Linked DNA regions of Elephas maximus indicus. The protein of the gene in region 2 interacts with the protein of the main gene of each other region in a pairwise test. Links are inferred from orthologs where the notes say so. Each region holds a gene or a part of one and is shown on either strand. Other genes may lie near its edges.

Evidence for each region. The genes of interacting proteins can lie anywhere in the genome.
Region 1: the proteins of keratin-associated protein 10-12-like (region 2) and MRGBP interact in binary tests that used the Homo sapiens proteins (3 or more experiments, as listed by UniProt). The two-hybrid records come from large-scale screens. The link is inferred for Elephas maximus indicus from reciprocal best matches to the Homo sapiens genes KRTAP10-7 and MRGBP.

What each region holds. Positions count from the first base shown.
Region 1 is NC_064843.1:5,190,524-5,197,798, forward strand, and holds the start of MRGBP (MRG/MORF4L-binding protein), read right to left. Parts: upstream 3,096-7,275; 5' UTR 3,057-3,095; coding exon 2,909-3,056; intron 2,483-2,908; coding exon 2,361-2,482; intron 430-2,360; coding exon 348-429; intron 38-347; coding exon 1-37.
Region 2 is NC_064820.1:228,929,073-228,935,495, forward strand, and holds keratin-associated protein 10-12-like, read right to left. Parts: upstream 1,404-6,423; coding exon 576-1,403; downstream 1-575. UniProt on the Homo sapiens protein: In the hair cortex, hair keratin intermediate filaments are embedded in an interfilamentous matrix, consisting of hair keratin-associated proteins (KRTAP), which are essential for the formation of a rigid and resistant hair shaft through their extensive disulfide bond cross-linking with abundant cysteine residues of hair keratins.

The sequences.
Region 1 (7,275 bases), on a different chromosome or scaffold from region 2:
ATTTCCTCTTTCATCTCCTCCTCAATGATCACTTTTCCTGTGGAGGGAGACCGACGGCCCTGCTTGGGGGAGGCTCACCCGGTGAGCAGCAGAGCCAGGGCAAGGCCAGCCAACGCTGCAGACGGCACACGGATTCTACCGCACCGCTTTTCAAGGAAAGAACCCTCTCCTATTGTGGAAGTCCCCTGGCCCCCAAGTCCAGGCTGAGCGGGGCCCCTAAGTACCCATTCACTCCCCTCCCAGACCCTGGTCCTCCCTGGCACGTGGCCTCACCCAGTGCTGCCGCCCTCAGCCAGCTCCCGCCTTTTACTAGTCTCCAAACCCCACTTCAGTGGCCTGCGTCTTACCTTCTCGGACCTCCTGGATGATTTCCTCTGGAAGGACGAAGTTCCTCTCTGGATTTGGAAAGGGGAGGATCTCGGACTCATGCTGACGTCAGAGAGGGTGTAATGTTTTTTTAAGAAATGAAGAAAATGTGATTTCAGCCATTAAAAGTGTATGCAGGAGCAACGAATGAATGTAGACACCCAGTGTCCTGGGGGTGGGGACAAGTAGCACCCAGAGCGGCCCAGCCTACCCACTAACACACTCCCAGAGCCAGGGCAGAGGCAACGCTGTAGGTGCTGCACAACTGGCTCACAGCTTGCTCACCCAAGAGCTGGCCAGACCACAGCCGACTCAGAGTGCAGGGCAGAGGGCAGGGAGGGGCTGACAGAACACAGTGCTGCCACCTCTGTCCACGTGGGCGACACTCAGGGAAGCTGGGTGAAGCCTCTCAGGGGTAAGGAGGCAAAGCAGCAGAGCACACTCACCAATGGACTCTGATCGGGGCTCTCCTGTCCTCTAGGCCATGGGTCCCAGAAGGGACAGAGACCCTGGAAAGGCAGGACCACCAGACGGGAGGGAAAGATGGGCTGGTGGGACAGTCCTGGCTGACCTGGGAGGTGGGCTGTGTTCCGCCAGGTAGCCTGCCCACACCTGCAGGCTTACATGTGCCAATCAAAACCTGTGCACTCCAAAAACCCCACAGACTCCGGGCCCTTGAAATCCATCTGCCGGGATGGGTCCTGGTGGTTTGGAGTCAGCCTGTGTGGTCCTTGTTCTAGAACAGATACCATCCCCACGTCTCCCTCCCCCAGTGACGTAAGGAGCCATTACAGGAATAAGGCAGGGAGGGGAGGGGCTGGCACTCCCTATCCCCCTGAGCTCACAGGGGCGGTTTCTACAGCCTGGCTGCCTCGGGCCTGACTTCACATGACTGTGATCCTGAGCCAAGCCCACCTCAGGAGCGGGCCATGGACAGGGACTGTGCTGCATAGGCTTCTCTGAGCCCCAGCTTTTACCATTGCTAGCCCAGGGTTGGGGCTTGGTGCCCCCACTACCTTTCACAGGTCACCCTACGGTGTTACAGGGCAGGTGTCGAGAGGGCAGGCCCGGGGCCTTCATAGCCTGGCTGAGTCCGTGCTCTGCTGAGTGGGGAGAATCTGGGCACTGCTGACCCCTCGGCACCCTAGGTCATTTGGAAGTGGCAGGGTGTGGCCTGCCACTGACCCAGAGAGTAGTAACAAGGAATAAGTGACCAGTGCCCAAGCTCAGTCACTTGCAGTAACAGCAACTAAAGCTTCCCCTGTGCCCACGACCGGCTACTCACACCCCTGCCTACAGCAGCCCACAGCAGCATGGCTACCATCTTCCTCCCTTCTTCACAACTAGGAAGAGGGGAACTCGCCCAGGACAACCGGCAGTGAGTGGAAGAGCAGAACCTGAACCCAAAAAGGCCAATATGTTCACGGCCTCGCCGATGTGCTGCCCAGGCCTTGGCCAGGGGCTGGTGCACCCAACTCAGTGCGTGGGGCACAGTGGGTCCCAGCACCAGCAGAGGTGCCCACTCCCCTGGTCACCTGATAACCCCGCCCTGTCCAGTGCAGCTCCGTCCTGGTTCCCTAGTTAACCCACTCGCCCTTTGGCTGCCAGCTATGAGCTCTGCTGGCTCCATGAGAAGCCACAGAGGTCCCCTTCCTGCCTGCAGCACGCCGGGACTTCCCACAGACTAGCGATGCTGCTGCCTCTCCCTGAGCTCAGCTAGCAGTCCAGGTAGCTACGCTGCCTGCACTTGAGTGCCTGGTGCTGGAAGACCCACCCCAGGGCCCACCAGGGACTGGCTTCCACCAGCAAGCTTGGTTTCCACAAACTGGGTGCCCTATTGCGAGAGAGCCCTTGTTTAATGCCCTGTTGTCCACTGCATGAGGGCCGGGCCTGTCCTGTGGGGGTCCTCAGCTACCCATGCAAGGAAGTCTGAGCTCAGTCTGGGATGAAGAGCTCTGATTCTATACACAGGACGATCAGGGGTCAAAGCTCACCAGTGCCTGCATGTCATACATAGTGCTCAGGTGGTCCCAGATAACCTTGGATGGGACTTGCCGCCCTATGTTCTGGCTGAACTTGTCCCGGATGCAAATCATGTGGAAGTGCCGGTTCACACCTGCCAGAGGCGTTGGGAAGCAGGTAAGGGGGCAGAAGAAAGGGGCACGGGCTGGACAGGAGAAGCCAGCAGGTGTCTGTGGTTGGGACAGCAACGGCTGGTGGGGGGACAGAGATGGGGGGAACAGGAGGGGAAGGGGTCCGTGGGGGGGTACAAGGGGGGATCCACAGTGGCAAAGGGCAGGGATGAGCGGGAGGGGCCGGGTGGAGAGGGCCCGCTAGGTGGAAGGGTCCGCGCGGTTTGGGGGGGTCCGTGCAGTGGGGAGGGGGCTCACGCGGTTTGGAGGGTCCGCGCGGTGGGGGGGGGTCCGCGCGGTGGGGGGGGTCCGCGCGGTGGGGTGGGTCCGCCGCCGCCCCGCCCTCCGGCCCCCGACGGTTACCCTGCCGCCCCGCCCCCACGCGAGTCCGCGGCCTCCGGCGCGCTCACCAACGGGCTTGTGGCCCAGCATGGCGTGGAAGAGGCACACCTCCACTTCGGGACTCCACACCACTGTCTCCTCTGCCGGGCTGGTGGCCGCCTCTCCCGGGCCCTTGTCGCCCGCGGAGCCGCCGCCGCCCACCTCGGCCTCCCCCATGGCCGGCGGCCGAGCTGACCCGGCGGGAGGCGCGGCCTCGCTCCGCGCAGGCGCACACGCAGGCGCGCGCTCGACTGCGGGACGCGCTCGGGCTCGCGCTCTGGCCCTGAGCAGGCGCAGTGTTGCTTGGGCGCGGTGCGCGCCAGCCGCGCCCCCTGGCGACAGCCTGCCGCGGCGCAGCGCCCACGTGTGCGGGGACTGGCGCTGTGACACTTATAATTTGGGGATTTGTTTTTAAAGCACAATTTTAAAAAGAACGCTAAAAAAAAAAAAAAAAGAGGAGCATCAAGTTGGAAAAGGATAGCGAGAATGGCTGCACAACTTGGAGAATGTAATCAATGTTACTAAATTGTACATGTAGAAATGGTTGTGAGGGCGAATGTTTTGTTATGTATTGTTTTCAACACAATAAAATAAAATAAGAACATCATTACCAAAACCCGTGCCGTCGAGTTGATTCCGACTCATAGCGACCTTATAGGACAGAGTAGAACTGCCCCCATAGAGTTTCCAAGGAGCGCCTGGCGAATTTGGACTGCCAACCTTTAGGTTAGCAGCCATAGCACTTAACCACTACACCACCAGGGTTTCCGGAACATCATTAGGAAAGTGAAAACACAACCTACAGAGTGAGAGAAAATATTTGCAAGTTATATCTGATAAGGGACTCATATCCAGAATACATAAAGAATTCTTACAACTCGATAATAAAAAGAAAACCCAATTAAAAAATGGGCAAATGATTTGAATAGACATTTCTCCAAATAGGATAGATAGATGGCTAAAAGGCATCAGGGAAATGCAAATCAAACCACAATGAAATACCACATCACATCCGTAGAATGGCTAGAATAAGAAAGCAAACAAACAAAAAATAGCAAAGAAAACCCCAGAAACAAACAAGTGTTGGCAGAGATGTGGAATAATTGGAACCCTAGTACATTGCTGAAGAAATGTAAAATGGTTTAGCTGCTGTGTAAACAGTTTTGGCAGTTCCTCAATGGTTAAACAGAATTACCGTTGGAGCCAACAATTCCACTTCTAGGTATCTACCCAAGAGAGAAGAAAAATACATGTCCGCACAAAAACATGTACAAGAATGGTCATAGCGGCATTTTTCATAGTAGCCAAAAGTAGAAACCTCCCAATTGCCCACTAACTGATGAATGGATAAACACAACATGGTCCATCCGTACAATGGAATATTGTTCAGCCATATAAAGGAATCCCGCACGTGTCTGTCAGTTTGTTGTACTGTGGGGGCTTGCATGTTGCTGTGATGCTGGAAGCTATGCCACCGGTATTCAGACACCAGCAGGGTCACCCACGGCAGACAGATTTCGGCTGAACTTCCAGGCGAAGACAGACTAGGACGAAGGACCTGGTGGTCTACTTCTGAAAAGCATTGGCCAGTGAAAACCTTATGAATAGCAGCGGAACATGGTCTGATATAGTGCTGGAAGCTGAGCCCCTCAGGTTGGAAGGCACTCAGAAGACGGCTGGGGAAGAGCTGCCTCCTCGAAGTAGAGTCGACCTTAATGGTGTAAATGGAGTCAAGCTTTGGGGACCTTCATTTGCTGATGCGGCACGACTCAAAATGAGAAGAAATAGCTGCAAACATCCATTCATAATCTAAAGGTGCAGTGTTCGAAGTGTGAATCTAGGAAAATTGGTCAAAAAGGAAACGGCGCTTGTAAACACGGATACCCTGGGCATTAGGAAGCTGAGCCGGACTGACACCGGCCACTCTGAATTGGACGGTCATATGGTCTACTGTCCCAGGAAGGACAAGGTGAAGAGGAATGGTGCTGCATTTATCATCAGAAAGAACATTTCAAGAGCTATGCTGAAGTACAACACTGCCAGTGACGGCGTGATATCTCTCCCAGCCATCCGGCGCTGCTATAACAGAAACACCACAAGGGGATGGTTAAACAAAGAAATTTATCCTCTCAGTGTCTAGTAGGCTACAAGTTCAAATTCAAGGCGTCAGCTCTAGTGGAAGGCTTTTTCTCTCTGTTGATTCTAGAGGAAGATCCTTGTCATCAATCTTCCTTTGGTCTGGGAGAATCTCAGCGCAGTAACCTCAGGTCCAAAGGATGCGCTCTGCTCCCGGTGCTGCTTTCTTGGTGGTATGAGGTCCCCCATCTCTTTGCTCACTTCTCTCCTTTATATCTCAAAAGAGATTGGCTTAAAACACTATCTAATCTTGTAGACCCCATCTATGTAACTGCCAATAATCCATCTTATTACATCATAGTGATAAGATTTACAACACCTAGGGAAACCACATCGGAAGATAAAATGGTAGATAATCATACAAGGGAATCATGACCTAGCCAAGTTGACAGACATTTTTGGGGGACACAATTCAATCCATGACAATATCCATATGCCTACAAAGAAGACTGGTTAATATGACTATTATTAAAATCTATGCCTCAACCACTGAGGCCAAAGATGAAGAAATGGAAGTTTTTTTTTTACAGACTTCTGTAGTCTGAAATTGATCAAACATGTATTGTTTTGTTATGTTGTACACAGGGTTGCTATGAGTCAGAAGTGACTCAAGGGCACCTAACAACAACAACAACAACCCATTATCAATCACTGCCCATTTCTCCCCAACCTCCCCTGTCCCAATGCTCAGGCAACCACTGCTTTACTTTCTGTCTCCAGAGATTTGCCTTTTTAGAAATTTAATATAAATAGGATTCTACGATAGGTATTCTTTTGTGACTGGCTTTTTTCCCTCAGTTTTCTAGGTTCATCCATGTTGTAGCATGTGTCAGTGTTTCATCCCTTTATATTGTTGTTGTTGTGGTTAGGTGCCGTTGAGTCGATTCTGACTCAGAGTGACCCTATGTACAACAGAGCAAAACACTGCCCGATCCTTAGCCATCCTCACAATCCTTGTTATGCTTGAGCCCATTATTGCAGCCACCGTGTCAATCCATCTTGTTGAGGGTCTTCCTCTTTTTCACTGACCTACTTTACCACTTTACGAAGCATGATATCCTTTTCCAGGGACTCGTCTCTCCTGATAACATGTCCAAAGTATGTGAGACATAGTTTCACCATCCTTGCTTCTAAGGAACATTCTGGTTGCACTTCTTCCACGACAGATCTGTTCATTCTTTTGGCAGTCCATGGTATGTTCAATATTCTTTGCCAACACCACAATTCAAAGGTGTCAATTCTTCTTTGATCTTCCTCATTCATTGTCCAGCTTTCACATGCACATGAGGTGATTGAAAACACCATGGCTTGGGTCAGGCGAACCTTAGTCTTCAAGGTGAAATCTTTGCTTTTCAACACTTTAAAGAGGTCTTTTGCTGCAGATTTGCCTAATACAACGTGTCTTGATTTCTTGACTGCTGCTTCCATGGGTGTTGATTGCAGATCCAAGTAAGATGAAATCCTTGACAACTTCAATATTTTCTGTTTATCATGATGTTGCTCATTGGTCCAGTTGTGAGGATTTTTGTTTTCTTTATGTTGAGGTGTAATCCATACTGAAGGCTGTGGTCTTTGATCTTCATCAGTAAGTGCTTCAAGTCCTCTTCACTTTCAGCAAGGAAGGTTGTGTCCTCTGTGTAACAAAGGTTGTTAGTAAGTCTTCCTCCAATCCTAATGCCGAGCTCTTTTTTACATAGTCCAGCTTCTTGGATTATTTGCTCAGCATATAGATTGAATAGGTATGGTGAAAGAATACAACTTTGATGCACAACTTTCCTGATTTTAAACCAAACAGTATCTCCTTATTCTGTTCAAATGACTGCCTCTTGGTCTATGTACAGTTTCTCATGAGCACAATTAAGTGTTCTGGAATTCCCATTCTTCACAATGTTATCCATAATTTGTCATGATCCACACAGTCGAACACCTTTGCATAGTCAGTAAAACACAGGTAAACATCTGTTTGTATTCTCCACTTTCAGCCAAGATCCATCTGACATCAGCAACGATATCCCTGGTTCCGCCTTCTCTTCTGAATCCAGCTTGAATTTCTGGCAGCCCCCTGTCAATGTACTGCTGCAACTGCATTTAAATTATTTTCAGCAAAATTTTACTTGTTTATGATATTAATGATATCGTTCAATAATTTCTGCATTTTGTTGCATCATGTTTCTTTGGAATGGGCACAGATGTGGACCTCTTCCAGGCGGTTGGCCAGGTAGCTGCCTTCCAAATCTCTTGGCATAGACGAGTGAGCACC
Region 2 (6,423 bases):
GCAAGCTGGCTTCCTCAGTGCACTTCTGAAGGGGTGGGTTTTCCTGGTAGGACAGTGGATGGAAAGGGGCTCTACAGGGGTCTGGAGAGCCTCCTGGACCATGGCGGGTCTGTGAACAACCAGCTTGGGGGAGCGCTGGGCAGGGGGCCAAGCAGAACCTGAGCCTTCCTGGGTGGTGCCGAGTCCCAGGTACCCTCCCAGAGGACTCAGGCCTGTGCCCTGTGATTTCTGAGGTAAGTCACTCATTCACAGAATGTTTGTGGCTGGGGAAGACCAATGTCTGGTCAAAACCCTGTGTCCCCACCATGAGAGTCTGACGACAGGAAAGATCAAGGGATCAAGGTGAATTTATTCAGGTGCCCTAAGAGGTGCTGACAGGTTGGAAGTTGAGGCCAGCTGGGGGGTTCCTGGGGAGCCAGGGGGCAAAGGTCACAAAGGGACAGTGGAGATGTGGAGGCGTCCCATCCTCAGGCAAGGGCAGCTGTCTAACAAGATCAGGACGAGGACTGAGTGGATGTGAGGAGCATAGCCACAGTGGGGCCTGGAGTCCAGCTGGCCCTGGGGGGAGTGTCTGGTCAGCAGGAGGACTTCTGGCCAGTTGAGGGGCCACAGCAGGCTGGGCGGGGGCACACAGGGTGGCAGAGCAGGGACACACAGGAGGAGGTGGGGGCACAGCAGGAGGAGGTAGGCACACGGCAGGCTGGCTTGCACAAGCGGTGGCAGATGAGGGACACACTGGAGGAGGGTCTGCAGCAGGAGGAGGCGCAGAGAGAGGGCTGGCAGTATGCGGAGGCTGGGCAGGGGGTGGCCTCACAGCACACGGGCACACAGCAGATGGGCTTGCAGCAGGCAGGCACGCAGCAGGCCTGCTGGCAGGGGGAGGGTGTGCAGCATGCAGACTGGCAGCTAGACTGCTGGCAGCACGAGGGAATCGGGCAGGGGGAGGTCTCATAGCAGACCGGCTTGGAGCAGACAGGCTTGCAGCAGACAGGCACACAGCAGATAGGCTTTCTGCAGACAGACATGCGGCAGGCCTGCTGGCAGGGGGAGGGTATGCAGCATGCAGGCTGGCAGCTAGACTGTTGGCAGCAGGAGGATTCACAGGAGCTAGTGCAGACTGATTGGCAGGGATTGGACCCACAGGCTGCCTGGCTGCAGGGGCTGGACACACAGCTCACAGGAGTGCAGACGAGGGTCAGGCAGGGGGCTGGGGCACAGCAGGTGGGGGCACAGCATGTGGACTGGCAGCAGGTGGAGGTGCAGCAGGGGGGCTCACAGCAGCTCTCGGGGTAGTCATCCACCTCCCAGGAGGGGCCAGTGCAAGACTCACAGGAACCAGGCAGGCAGACGCCACTGCCATAGTTCAGGTCGCTAGAGCAGACAGACGTGGTGGAAGCAGCCATGGTGGTGGGGGGAGGTTGTGGGAGGAGGAGTGAGTGAGTGAGTGAGGTTCTCGGAGCTGCCGGGACTTTTATATATTCCTCCGTGTTGTGTGTTGTCCCACCAGAGGCTCCATGATGCCCTTCCCCTTCCTGGTTGGTGTCCCAGCCAGTTCCAAGACCTCATTAGGAATGTTCGTTTGCCATGGTGTTGTCCAGCCTGTAAATCTTCATAGGTGGCCTGGGCCTCAGTGTCCCATCGCAATCTGTGGTCCCACAGGAGTAGGAGTCCGGGCTATGATCCCAGCCTGGGTCCATGGGGCCCATGAGGGCAGTGGGTGTCAGGAGGGTGGGAATGTCCTGAGTCCTCCTTTATTTGCTGGGAGCATGGTCTGGTTAACAGCAATTGAAGCACTCAGACAATCACTGGCGATTGTATGAAGCCAAAACTCTGCTAAGTGATTTCCCACTGCCTCAAACACCTCTAGTGTAGCCTTCCTGTGCCCCCTGTGAAGGCAGGGTTGTAGAGGTGTTGGGTGTCCTGCCCAGGGCCACAATTTGTGAGAGACAGGCTGTGACAAGGGCCTGACCTCTTGGCCCCGTGCTCTGGACCATTTGTCATAGACAAAGCATCTCTCTCCAGTCCTGGCTTAGTGTGTCCATTATCCACATGGTCCTTCTGCTTGGGAGAGAGCAGCAATTCTTTGTATTCTAGGCCAAGGATTGTGTTGGACATGGGTTGGCCCCTTCCCTGGTCAGGCACAAGGATAGTTTCTTGGGCTTGTTGTTCTTGGTTTCTGAACCACACCCAGTGACCATGCTGGACTGCACGTGGGTCATTACCTAGCATCAGGTAGGAACTCGTAATGGGCAATTGACTAATTGCTGGAGACTGTGGACAAGCTTGAGAGGTTAAAATAAATAAATGAATAAAAGCTCCTGGAGGCCCAGCTTTAGCAGGACCCCATACATTCCTAAGTTGTACCTCCAGGAGTCCCATCAGGTTCTCACTGTGAAACTCAGAGAGAAATTCCGTTGAACTTCCGGCAAGGGGAGGGGAAAAGTAACCATTTTGAAAAATGGCCAGAGTATTCTGTTCTCCTTAACAAATGGTCTGCCCTCAAGGAAACCTATTTTGCCAGAGCCTAATCAACATGGGGGAATGTCCAACTCCAGCCCCCTCTAACTTTCCATATTCGGGAAAGGAAATACCCAACTCTAGCCCTCTCTAACTTTCAGCATGGGGGAAGGGAAATACCCAACTCCAGCCCCCTCTGGGTTTCCACATGGGGGAAGGAAAATACCCAACTCCAGCCCCCTCTAGGTTTCCACATGGGGGAAGGGAAATATCCAACTCCAGCCCCCTCTAACTTTCCACATGGGGGAAGGGAAATAACCAACTCCAGCCCCCTCTAACTTTCCACGTGGGGGAAGAGAAATACCCAACTCCAGCCCCCTGTAGGTTTCCACATGGGGGAAAGGAAATACCCAACTCCAGCCCCCTCTAACTTTCCACATGGGGGAAGGGAAATACCCAACTCCAGCCCCGTATAGGTTTCCACATGGGGGAAAGGAAATACCCAACTCCAGCCCCCTCTAACTTTCTACATGGGGGAAGGGAAATACCCAACTCCAGCCCCACATAGGTTTCCACATGCGGGAAAGGAAATACCCAACTCCAGCCCCCTCTAGCCTTCCTGTCTCACCTACAGAGTGAAAAAAAAAATCTGAGAAGCACTTGTGAAGGTCACAGCCCAGGGGCACAGATCCACTAAAAGAATGAGACCTAAACATATAATCATATGCTACTTCCCCTCCTCCCACATCTTACCATCACATCAATAGGGCCTCTGTATAAAATTGGGACATTATAACTGAAGAGACCTGAAAAGCTTAAACTCTATTTAAGGAATCTCTAGGGAAAATAAAGATTGAATCTTATACTACACTTGTGTGCCAGCACCAAATTCTCTCAGGGAAAAGCTATCTCCCCCCCTCCCCTACCTTACTCTGTCTCTGTCTCTCTCTATGTTGTTGTTAGGTGCCATTGAGCCATTTCTGACTCATAGCGATCCTATGCACAACAGAACGAAACCCTGCCTGGTCCTGTGCCATCCTCACAATCATTGCTGTGTTTGAGACCGTTGTTGCTGCCACTGTGTCCGTCACCCTCATCGACGGTCTTCCTCTTCTTTGCTGACGCTCTACCTTACCAACCATGATGTCCATCTCTAGGGACTGGTCACACCCGATAACACGTTCAAAGTACATGAGACGAAGTCTTGCCATCCTTGCTTCTAAGGAGCATTCTGGCTATATTTCTTCCAAGACAGACTCGTTCATTCTTCTAGCTGTCCATAGTATATTCGATATTCTCCACCAACACCATAATTCAAAGGCATCAATTCTTCTTTGGTCTTTCTTCTTTGTCCAGCTTTCACATGCATATGATTGGATTGAAAATATTATGGCTTGAGTCAGACACACCTTAGTCCTCAAAGTAACATCTTTGCTTTTCAACACCTTAAAGAGGTCTTTTACAGCCAATTTGTCTGATACAATACATTGTTTGATTTCTTCACTGCTGCTTCCATGGGTGCTGATTGCGTATCCAAGTAAAATGAAATCCTTGATGACTCAATCTTTTCTCTGTTTATCGTAATGTTCCTGTTGGTCCAGTTGTGAGGATTTTTGTTTTCTTTCTGTATAGGTGCAATCCCTACTGATGGCTACAGCAGTCATTGATCTTCATCAGTAAACGCTTCAAGTCCTCTTCGCTTTCAGCAAGCAAGGTTGTATCATCTGTATGTCACAGGTTGTTAATGAGTTGTCCATCAATCCTGATGCCATATTCTTCTTCATACAGTCCAGCTTCTCAGATTATTTGCTTAACGTACAGATTGAAAAAGTACAGTGAAAAGGTACAACCTTGACATACACCTTTCCAGATTTTAAACCACGCAGTATCTCCTTGTTCTGTTCGAAAGACTGCCTCTTGGTCATGTTGCATTCTGGAATTCCTGTTCTTCACAATGTTATTGATAATTTGTTATGATCCATACAGTACAATGCCTTTGCATAGTCAATAAAACACAGGTAAATATCTTTTTGATATTCTCTGCTTTCAGCCAAGACCTGTCTCCCTCTCTTCCTCTCTCTATATATATGAATATATATACATGTATAAATTTTTAAAATACAAATTTTATCACACTCTCCCCACTGTTCTACATGTTTAGTTTTTCCTAAAAGTAATATAACTTGGAGCTCTTTTCCTATGAATATATAATGTTCTCACATCTGTGTAGAATTCTACATGGGTCTTATGTTTGGGTTCTATTGCTATTCAAAAAAATACCACAAACTTAATAGCTTAAAATAACCCACATTTATTATCTCACAGTTTCTGTGGTTCAGGAGTCCCAACACAGCTAGACTGGGTTCTCTGCTGGGTTCTGAGGAGGGTGTATCATCTGAGGTTCAGCTGCAGAAGAATCCACTTTCATGCACATGTGGATGTTGGCATGATTCAGTCCCTTGCAGGTTGTCGGACCGAGGGCCTCAGTTCCTTGCTGATTGTTGGCCAGAGGCTGCCCTCAGTTCCTTGCCATGTGGTCCCTCCATAGGAAGCTCACAACAAGGTGCTCACAAGACAGGCATTATGATCTTACATAATGTAATCACATACACATAATAACGTAGATCTCATCACCTTGGTTGTATTCTGTTATGGATTGAATTGTGTTCCCCCAGAAAATGTGTGTCAACTTGGCTAGTCCGTGATTCTCAGTATTATGTGATTGTCCACCATTTTGTCATCTGATGTGATTTTCCTATGTGTTGTAAATCCTACCTTTTTGATGTTAATGAGGCAGGATTAGAGGCAGTTATGTTAATGAGGCAGGACTCAATCTAGGTTGTGTCTTAAGTCAATCTCTTTTGAGTTATAAAGAGAGAAGCAAGCAGAGAGACAGGGGACCTCATACCACCAAAAAGGAAGAGCCAGGAGAATAGTGTATCCTTTGGACCCGGGGTCCCTGTGCTGAGCAGCTCCTTGACCAGGGAAGATTGATGACAATGACCTTCCCTCAGAGTCAACAGAGAGAAAGCCTTCCCTTGGAGCTGGCATCCTGAATTTGGACTTCTAGCCTTCTAGATTGTGAGAGAATAAATTTCTCTTTGTTAAAATCACCCATTTGTGGTACCCACACACGTCTGTCAGTTTGTTGTACTGTGCAGGTTTGTGTATTGCCATGGTGCTGGAAGCTATGCCATAGGTATTGAAATACCAGCAGGGTCATCTATGGCAGACAGATTTCAGTTGAGCTTCCAGGCTAGGACAGACTAGGAAGAAGGACCCAATGATCTACTTCTGAAAAGAATTAGCCGGTGAAAACCTTATGAATAGCAGCGGAACATTGTCTGATATAGTGCTGGAAGATGAGCCCATCAGGTTGGAAGGCACTTAAAACGGGACTGGGGAAGAGCTGCCACCTCAAAGTAGAGTCGACCTTAATGACGTGGATGGAGTCAAGCTTTCGGGACCTTCATTTGCTGATGTGGCACCTGGAATGTAAGAAGTATGAACCTAGGAAAATTTGAAATCGTCAAAAATGAAATGGAACACATAAACATCAATATCCTAGACATTAGTGAGCTGAAATGAACTGGTATTGGTCATTCTGAATCAGACAATCATATGGTCTACTATGCCAGGAATGACAACTTGAAGAGGAATGGCATTGCATTCATTGTCAAAAAGAACATTTCAAGATCTATCCTGAAGTACAACAGTGTCATTGATAAGATTGTACCCATACACCTTCAAGGAAGACCAGTTAATACCACTATTATTCAAATTTACACAAACCACTAAGGCCAAAGATGAAGAAATTGAAGATTTTAACCAACTTCTGCAGTCTGAAATTGATGGAATATGCAATCTGGATGCACCGATAATTACTGGTGATTGGAATGCAAAAGTTGGAAACAAAGAAGAAGGATCAGTAGTTGGAAAATATGGGCTTGGTGATAGAAGCAATGC